2 linked regions of the Cricetulus griseus genome follow. Each later gene encodes a partner of the first gene's protein in a complex. Links are inferred from orthologs where the notes say so. Each region holds a gene or a part of one and is shown in the gene's direction. Other genes may lie near its edges. The genes, in order: Ghrhr and Ghrh.

What was found.
Region 2: the proteins of Ghrhr (region 1) and Ghrh are in contact, whole or in part, in a cryo-EM structure (PDB 7CZ5), measured with the Homo sapiens proteins. The link is inferred for Cricetulus griseus from reciprocal best matches to the Homo sapiens genes GHRHR and GHRH. Residues at the interface, in NP_000814.2 of Homo sapiens: Leu119, Ala120, Glu122, Glu123, Phe126, Ser127, Val129, Lys130, Tyr133, Val179, Lys182, Leu186, Phe187, Asp190, Thr192, Asp193, His194, Cys195, Phe197, His210, Thr213, Phe217, Ala271, Cys272, Asp274, Leu275, Asp276, Trp282, Ile285, Ile289; in NP_066567.1 of Homo sapiens: Tyr32, Ala33, Asp34, Ala35, Ile36, Phe37, Thr38, Asn39, Ser40, Tyr41, Arg42, Val44, Leu45, Gly46, Gln47, Leu48, Ser49, Ala50, Leu53.

What each region holds. Positions count from the first base shown.
Region 1 is NC_048601.1:85,940,230-85,944,610, reverse strand, and holds the start of Ghrhr (growth hormone-releasing hormone receptor), read left to right. Parts: upstream 1-1,544; coding exon 1,545-1,601; intron 1,602-4,256; coding exon 4,257-4,359; intron 4,360-4,381.
Region 2 is NC_048599.1:22,214,431-22,218,968, forward strand, and holds the start of Ghrh (somatoliberin), read left to right. Parts: upstream 1-1,678; coding exon 1,679-1,758; intron 1,759-2,011; coding exon 2,012-2,116; intron 2,117-4,002; coding exon 4,003-4,122; intron 4,123-4,538. UniProt on the Homo sapiens protein: GRF is released by the hypothalamus and acts on the adenohypophyse to stimulate the secretion of growth hormone.

The sequences.
Region 1 (4,381 bases):
GTTTCTCTGCTAAGTGCCACTCATTTAAATAACATGAACTGCTCTGAGTTCTTGGTATCAATAATTAATGCTACTAATGCTGGTGGGAGAGATGCTAATTATGAAACACGATTCATAATTATGTATTTCCTCAGTGCAGTGGCCTCTGTCCCCTTTTCGTCATGCCTTCTCTATAGCCCTTGATTTCTTCCTGTGTGCCACCCACGCTGGGCAACATGTGTAGAAAATATTTTCAGCATTTTGTTGACAACGACTAAGAGTGGAAAAATAAAGCCCTGCTGATGTCAAATGACTCCTAAATGCAGATGTGGTGGCGGGAAGCTTTCCACATTCATGACACAAATTCACTAGAAACACATCTGGCACCCCCAGCATACAGCCCAGCAGCTCTGTAAATTGAGATGGCCACTCAGTGATCAAGACCCCTTAGTTCCCCCCATCATTCAGGGTTGTTCAAGGTGACATTCACTTTCAGTCTGCAAATGCTGAGCAAGATCTAGTCTGGCTTAGGACACTGTCATTATTAGCCTGGCCAATCGAGCGCTTGCGTTTTGAAGTCAAAATAAAGAGTGGGTCTCTTCACTCCTACAATGGAAGATGGATGCTGTGCCCCTCTTGAATGTCCCAGCTCCAGGGACCCCTTTAAGAGGTCTCCAGTTAGCTTCCATTTCCACTCTGGACAGGAGGATTATTGAGAAACTTTGTTTAGCCCCATGTGTAGTTGGGAGCCTTGATGATGCAGAAGATCTCATTATCTTTGTGTCCCTATCAGGTAAATAATGTGGCACATTCTTGGTCAGCATAAACTGTGTTTAATGACAGTTTCTTCATTTGTGGTGGCAGAGATTTAAACCCAGAGCCGCACACATGTTGAGCAAATGCTTTACCATTGAGCCACACCCCAGACTCTTATGGCCATTTTTCATAAGGCTCATTCAAACATTCCAGGCTCCACTGTCACCCGCCCCACTTTTTCTGGGTCCCCTCAGCTTTGAGCTCACCCTCTAGACCCTTAGAAGAGACTGGGGGCGTCAACAGACCTGGGGCTCCATAAAGGCAGATCTGGGTCACCTTCTTGTTTTCTGAGGTCCCTTCATTCTGGTGCAGGTATAGGACCATCCTATACTTCCAGGTAAGACCACGGGGAACTGGACTCAGAAAATGACAGGAAAGTGTATTAAGTGTAACAGTGTCCTGTGGTTGTCACTTCTCTGGTATCCTATCTGTGCCCTCTGGATTCTTGCTGTCAGGACAGGTACATTCAGGCATGGGACAGGTGCACTCAGACACAGAGGCAGAGTGAGGTGGTGTATCAGAGCTCAGCCACCCCCTGCTGAGGACACAGAGTCCCATCTAGAGCTAGCAGTAACACAATGTCCCACCATTCTGCTCAATATTCAGCTGGGTGTCCCTGCTGTTGGCCCTGCCTACACAGTTCCTGGGAAGGGGAGGTAACAGAAGGTGCACCTAGGTGGCATCAGTAGAGACAGTCTGGGAGGGAAAAGGGCCAAGGCTCATTGAGGCTGAGCGCAGGCATCGCTGCCATGGACTGCCTGTTGTGGGACACCTGCGTCCTCTGCTTGCTGAACCTGTTGGGAGTTGTAAGTAGCCAGCTCAGGCCTCCTTCTCTTTTCTTCTCCAGCTGGGTGGTGGCAGGCTGTGGCTGAGGAACTCCTCAGTCTGCTGGCTTTCTCCTTTCTTCCCTTGACTAGTCTCAGACTCTGCCTTGAAGTGAGATGTCTCCTTGTTCCCTTGCCCACGTCGTATCTGTGTCCTCTGGGGGCCCTAGAGACACATGCTGGGAGTTTCCATCTTGGGATAGTTGAGCCCAGATATGGCCTCCATGTCACACCCGAGCCTGTCCCTTCTCTAAGCCACACACTTCCAGGCTGCCAACCATTTCTTCTCAAAAAGAACCAACACCTTCTTGTTGTCCTCTCTCCTGTCTCCTCAGCCACCTCCAGCATGGATGTTTCCTTGAAGGGAGTGTGGCCAGGAACTCTGTGGGGCCTGAGGAATTAGCTCTTCTAGCTATGGCAGTTGGTGACTCTGCCTTTGGTGATGCCAGGATTGGAGAGGCTTCAGAAACCAGCCACTGCTCTCTGGCTTGTGCATCAGGGTGTGGGCCAGTCAGGAGTACAGGTTTCCCTGAGTGTGCAGAAACTTCCCAGCAGACTTTCTGGGTCGCTGAAAGTAGCATCGAGGGCCCAGAGGGGAGGAGCCACAAGACACTAGCAGGAGCACATGGGGACTGAGGCTGCCTTCTTCCTCTACTGATTTGCCAGAGTGACCATCCATTCTAGTACCTCACTGCCCTTTGCTCAAGATGCTGGCATCTGGGGACCATGAAGTGAATTGTGTGACACTTGAGACTTCATTTGTCTCTGTAAAAAGAGAAACTTGAGTGAGGCAGAGGCAAGAGTATTATGATGAGTTTGATGTTAGTCTGGGCTACACTGAGAATTATAGTGCAGTCTACAGGGGGCTGCCATGCCTCTAGGAGGTGGTGGGGGATGAGCGATCTGGCTTGTCAAGGGCTGCCACGTGGGTGTCATGCAGATAACGTCCACGAGCTCCCTATATGGTACGAAGGGCTCACACTCTACTCTGTGTACATAGCACCAAAGCTTCATTTAGGGGAGGGAACCCTAGACCCAAACCTGTTGTTCAGCAGCTAGGGTAGATACCAGATTCGGGACTAGAGTTGACCACTGTCTTCTTCCAAACCTTGAGGTGAGCAGTTAGTCGGGTCAGGGAAAGGACCAGTGTGTGTGTGTGTGTGAGAGAGAGAGAGAGAGAGAGAGAGAGAGAGAGAGGAAGAGAAGAGAGAAAGAGAGAGAGAGGGGAGGAGGGAGAGAGAGAGAGAGGGAGAGAGAGAGAGGAGGGGGGAAGGAAGGAGGGAGGGAGGGAGGGAGGGAGGGAGGGAGGGAGGGAGGGAGGGAGGGAGGGATCTTGCAAAGGCATTTGGGTAAGTCTTGAGAGATATTAGGGATTCTAGCTCTCTAAAGAAAAGGTCAAATGCCAAATCCTAGTCATACCCCAGATCTCTGCCTAGCCTGGAGCACTTGGGTTCCAGATGGCCTCTGAATCACCCTTCAGAAACACAGATGTCCAGATAAACTTAGAGACCATTCCTTGTGGTCTCCCAGGCTCCGGGAGGTACCAATCTTCTATCTTTATGATCACCAAGCCACACATGAAGGCAGCATCCTTCTATCCATCTAATGATCAACTCCGCCACCCTGATACAGGACCCTTATCATCCATTATACCTCCTCCATGCATCCATATGTGTCCATCTTCCCTTATCGCATTGTCCGTGTGTCTGTCTGAACACTCATCCACTCCACCAGCCCTCCAGCTAGTACCCCCTCTCCCAGGACCTCCTTCCTTCCTGTTCATTGTTCCTTTATCTCAGTCAGGTGCTATTGTCTTCTCTCTCCCCCAGCCTCCTGTATATTCCCCACTTACTAGTTTACACATTTCCTCGTGTAACTTGCCTGAGACACATCCACAGCCCAACATGCTTTTCAATGGGCTAAACCCAAGTGTTTGGCAGGGCTGTGGTCCTTCTGGAGTCTCCTTGCTTGGCTGAGGCATTTCTTCATCTTCAATAAGTACAATAGCTCCTTTCATCATGTCCTCTCTGACTTGATCTTTGTGCCCCCTTGTGATGGCTCTGGTCCCGCTCAGATAATCAAGGACATCTTCCTGCTTGGAGATCATATATGCTAAGTGCCTTAGTTGTGTCAGGTTTTGTGGACTGGGAAATGGACATCTTTGGGGACCATTGTTCTACCTACAAGGGTTGCTTATGCAGAAACACTTGCAAGGCCTAGAAGTATGGAGGGATGGGGGGAGAAAGGGCCATGTTAGGGACTGCAATGTCCCATCTGTGGATTCTCTAAATGGCTTTCTTTAAGGTGTCTTAGAATTCACTGCCATGGGCTAGGAAAGTGCATCCATCCCTCCCTTCTTTCCTCCTCTCTCTGCCCCCCTCTGTTCTTTCCCTTCATGTCCCCCTTTCTTTTGCTCCCTTTCCTCCCTTATCTCTGAACTTTTGCCCTCTTTCTCCCACTCCCTCCTTCTTCATGCCCCACTACCCATCAAATATGCCTTGATACTGCTGGGACAGATGGGTCCTCAGAATCGGGGCACAACAATATACCAGGCCTGCTCTCTGCCTTTATATCACTAGAGCTAGAGAGCCGGAGGCCACCAGTGGGCTTGGCTCACCCTGTCACTATTTCTCATAGGCACTGGGTCACCTCCACCCAGAATGTGACTTCATCACACAGCTGAGAGAGGATGAGCTTGCGTGTCTTCAGGTGGCAGAGGGGACCAACAACACCTCCCTGGGTATGAAGGGGTGGGGGATGGA
Region 2 (4,538 bases), on another chromosome or scaffold:
CACTTTAATCCCATTTCTCAGGAGGAAGAGGCAAACGGATTTCTGTGAGTTTGAAGCCAGCCTGGTCTACAGAGCACGTTCTGGGCAGCCAAGGCTACACAAAGAAACCCTAACTTGAGAGAGAGGGAAAGAGAGAGTGCAAGGGAGAGAGGGGGGAGGGAGACAGAGAAAGAGAGGGCGAGAGTGAGCAGGGGTCTGGAGATAAGACATGAAGAAGGTGAAAAGCCAGTGTGTCGTGGAGAGGCAGGAAATGCCGTGGCTTGCAGTCAAGGGATCCTCCTTATGTCCAAAGGGTTCCCTGTTTGGAAAGTTCCACTTCTGGAGAGGCCCAGCCCAGCTGGAAAAGGAATCCCCTGGTGTGATATATGAGGAAGACAGGGAGCGTAGATGCTTGGCCCAAGAAACAAGGCCTAAGTCATATGAAAACATACCTGAGAGGCCTGGTGTAGGGTGCAGGAACTGGAGCCACAGTGAACAGTTCCCACTAATACTTCCTGGGACCGAAGGCACCCTAACCAGAGGTGGCCAGAATCTGCAGAGGGGCCTGTTGCCTGAAGAGAAGTGACCTAGTGGACTGGGTCAGTGCTGGACCTAGCCCTCAATGGGACTAGGGAGAGAGGAATCATGGGAATGGTGCCTTTCAGGGACCAGTCAGATCCTCCAGGGCAGTCGTTCTGCTGAGAAGACCCAGCTCCTAGCTGGCCAGTGACTGGCTCCATACCAGGGCAGGCCAGAGCTAAAAGGAACATCCTCTTAGCCAAGGCAGCTCTCCCCTAACTGCAGAGCATGGTGTTAACAGGTCCCAATTAAGGGCCATTATGAAGTCAGTGAAAAGATTCTGGCATACTCACACTAGATGCTCCCTTTTCCCCTTTCAGAGCTCTGTGTAATGTAACAATTCTGCCAGGTTTGGTGGCACATGTCTATAATTCCAGCTCTCGTGAAGCTGAGGCAGGAGGATTATGAGTTAGAAGTCAGCCTGACAACACAGTGAATTCCAGGCAAGTCTCGAATACTCTACCTCCAAAATGTAAGCTTCCAGAACAAGACACTTCCATCTTTACTGCAACTCCACACAAAATGAAACAGCATGAATCTATCCTCCGAGTGAAATAAGTGTTAGGTGACCACAGCAAAAGTTTCTAGAGCGTTCCTTATGTGTTTCTTCTCACCTGACCTGATCATTGTGGTTATTATCTCCATTCTGTGGCTGGGGAAACTGAGGCTCAGAAAGGTTGAGCCACTTGTAATGGGGAGCTCAGGTAGTGAGAGCAGAACCAGGAGTTGAGGTCAGATTTATCTGAGAGCATGGTGTCCTCTGCTCCCTGCTGCAAGTCAACCAGGGGCAATGCTTTCTCTGCCTGTGTCTCTCCTGAGTGTGTGTGTGTTCCCCTCATCCTTTCCAAGAGAGGCGGTTTCACCAAGTTAACAGATTTCCTGCTCAGCCTCATGCAGTAGCTAGTGTGGCTTTGTCCCATTCATCCCAGATGGGGAAGCCGGAAGCCAGAGCTGAGGACTGACAGTGTTGAACTTGAATACAGGTATGTCTGACTTTCAAAGCCCACCAGCCAAAGGATGAGGACCAGGACTTGTCATGGAGTGGTGCCCAGGGGACACTGTGGCTATGTCTGATTGTGCCCTCCTGGTCTTCTTTGCAGGTCCCACCCAGGGGTGAAGGATGCCACTCTGGGTGTTCTTTGTGATCCTCACCCTCACCAGCGGCTCCCACTGTTCACCGTTCCCATCACTGCCCTTCAGGTGAGCAGCCAGGATTCCTGCACCCCCGAGACCTCCCTACCATGGGCAGAGAGAGATGCTGACTGCAGCCACCGCTATTTCTTCACAATGCCCACTGTTCATCTCAGGCAGGCACCGGGCACGGAGCCCCAGAGATCATGCAACCAGGCTCTGAGTTTCTCAGGGAGTGAGGGGGACAGAGAACAACAGAGGGAGGCGAGGCCTGCACTGTCCTCTCGCCAGGCCCATCCTGACCTCTGACCCTTTTGCACAGGGTGCGTCGATATGCAGATGCCATCTTTACCAACAGCTACAGGAAAGTTCTGGGCCAGCTGTCTGCCCGCAAACTGCTCCAGGACATCATGAGCAGGCAGCAGGGGTAAGCAGATATTTTAGTAGTTCTTCCCCTGCATTAGAGCTGGGGAGGCCTGATGCAGGAGGTGGGGACCAAGCTTCATTTGGTCCTGACACAGTGTATATTGGTGGTTCTCAACTTTCCTAATGCTGTGACGCTTTAATACAGTTCCTCGTGTTGTGGTGACCCCCAACGATGAAACTACTTTGTTGCTGCTTCATAACTGTTATTTTGCTATTGCTATGAGTGGTAATGTAAGTATCTGATATATGACCCCCAAAGAGGTTGCAACCCACAGACTGAGAATATATATCCTTCCTGGATTTTGCGCAGGTCAAGCCTCCATTTACCTCTACACCTTCTGTGTGCCTCTCCCTGTCCTTGGCTCCAGTGGTGACAATGCTGATGGTCATTGTTCCTGTTTGATCAGGACTCCAGGCCAGAAACAAAGACTAGGCATGAGGACATGTGCGTTCATGAGGACTCCCGTGCCAGGGCAACCTCTATAAGTCTCTTCTCAGGTCTCTGAGACCACCTGTCGTTACCCCGTTGCACAGACCCTGTGTGCCATCTCCAAAGGATGAACAAAGAGTGGCTAAGTGAAGATCCAAACAGCCTGACTTTTGTAGGTTTTGTTTTGAAAAACCTTCAAATGTACAAAAATGTCACAGGGATGGAGTTAGCAAGTGCTGCTTTTGCACAGGACCTGAGTTCAATTCCCAGCACCTATGTGGAGACTTATACACATCTTCAACTCCAGTCACAGGGGATCCAACACCCTCTTCTGGCCTCCACAGGCACCAGGCATAAATGTAGGCAAACAATAACAACAAAACCCACACACATTAAAATAAATAAATACAAAATTCTCATTTTATCTGAGCCACTTTAAAATTGATTTCTTTTGATGCAAGCTCTTGTATACCAGGGTCGGCCTTGAAATCAGTATGTATCTGAGGATGACTTGCTTCTGTGCCTCCTGCTTTTGTCTCCTGAATGCTGGGATTGTAGTCTCATGACTACAATTATCATGACCTTTTACCCTGCGGGACTTGCATCTCTTAACAGCTAACAAGCAACACCCCCTCTGTCCTCAGTGCCGCTGTCACTCACAACACTTATTCAAATTTCATCAGTTGTCCCAACAGATTCCTTATAATAATGTCTTCCCTGACCTTAGGTCCAGTGTAGGATCACAGACTCCATTTAGCCATCATCATCATCATCATCACCATCATCATCTCTCTCTCTCTCTCTCTCTCTCTCTCTCTCTCTTTAATGTATAGGATTGTTTTGCTTTCATGTATGTCTGTGTACCACATGCATGCCAGGTGCCCTCTGAGGTCAAAAGCGGGCATTAAATCCCCTGAATCTGGAGTTATGGAGGGCTGTGAGGTGGATGCTGGGAATGAAGCCTGGGTCCCCTACAAGAAGTGCTCTTAACTGCTGAGCCATCTCTCCAGCCCTCCGCATATCTTTGAGTTTAACCTGGAAGATGCCTGATTTTCTTGACTTTGACAACTTTGACTAGTAAATGTCATTACTCCCTAGACTTCCCTTCACAGTGAACCCATCCAAGCTACCTTCATATTTAGTATCCATGTGGCCTTCTCAGCCATGGTATCAGAAGCTGCCACACAATGGGTTGTCCTGTTACTGGTGAACGATACATCTGACCCCTTGTTTAATGTGCTGCCTACAAGATTATCAATCTGTGGGGAGGGTTTTGCAGTGGTATACATATGCGTGCTGCATTCTTCACTGCAATGCCTACTGCTCCCCAGATGCTGCTGAACATGGGTGGGCGTCCTAAGAATCCACATCAGATACTGGAATAGCAAAGGTCTACGTCCCTGACTGGACATCCTAGCCAATGACTGCCTCACTGTTTCTCCTTTCCAAACTCGCAGGGAGAGGAACCAGGAACCAGGAGCCAGGGTACGGCTTGGCCGTCAGGTGGACAGCATGTGGGCAGACCACAGGCAGGTGTCACTGGAGAGCCTCTTGGAAGCCCTGCTGCAGAAGCACAGGTGACAGGGTAGAGGGGGTGTGCCACAGGTGAGGGAGCAGGGGGGAGGCAGGGAGAGATTTCTTTAGGGACTTTAGAGACTTTCTTCCCTCGGTTTCCAAGAAAAGCAAAGAATCACTTTCTCTTCACAGGGGTGGGGCCTAGTCTTCCAAGCAAAGGGACAAAGCCCTTCCCTACCCCCCAGGCCTCAGGGGCAGAAAGTGATATGTGTGAGGGGATTGCACGATGGCCACTGCAGTGTGTCCAGTGCAGAACAAGAGGCCAGGCTCAGTGTGTCTTGAAATGTTATCAGTACTTCTGGTATGGATCTCAGGCCCTGAGTTTTAACAGGTGTCCCAAGAGACTGCATTGAGTGACGTGAAGGGTACACCTTGGATCCCCTGTGAAGTCCGTGAACCTATAATGCCCAAGAAAGAC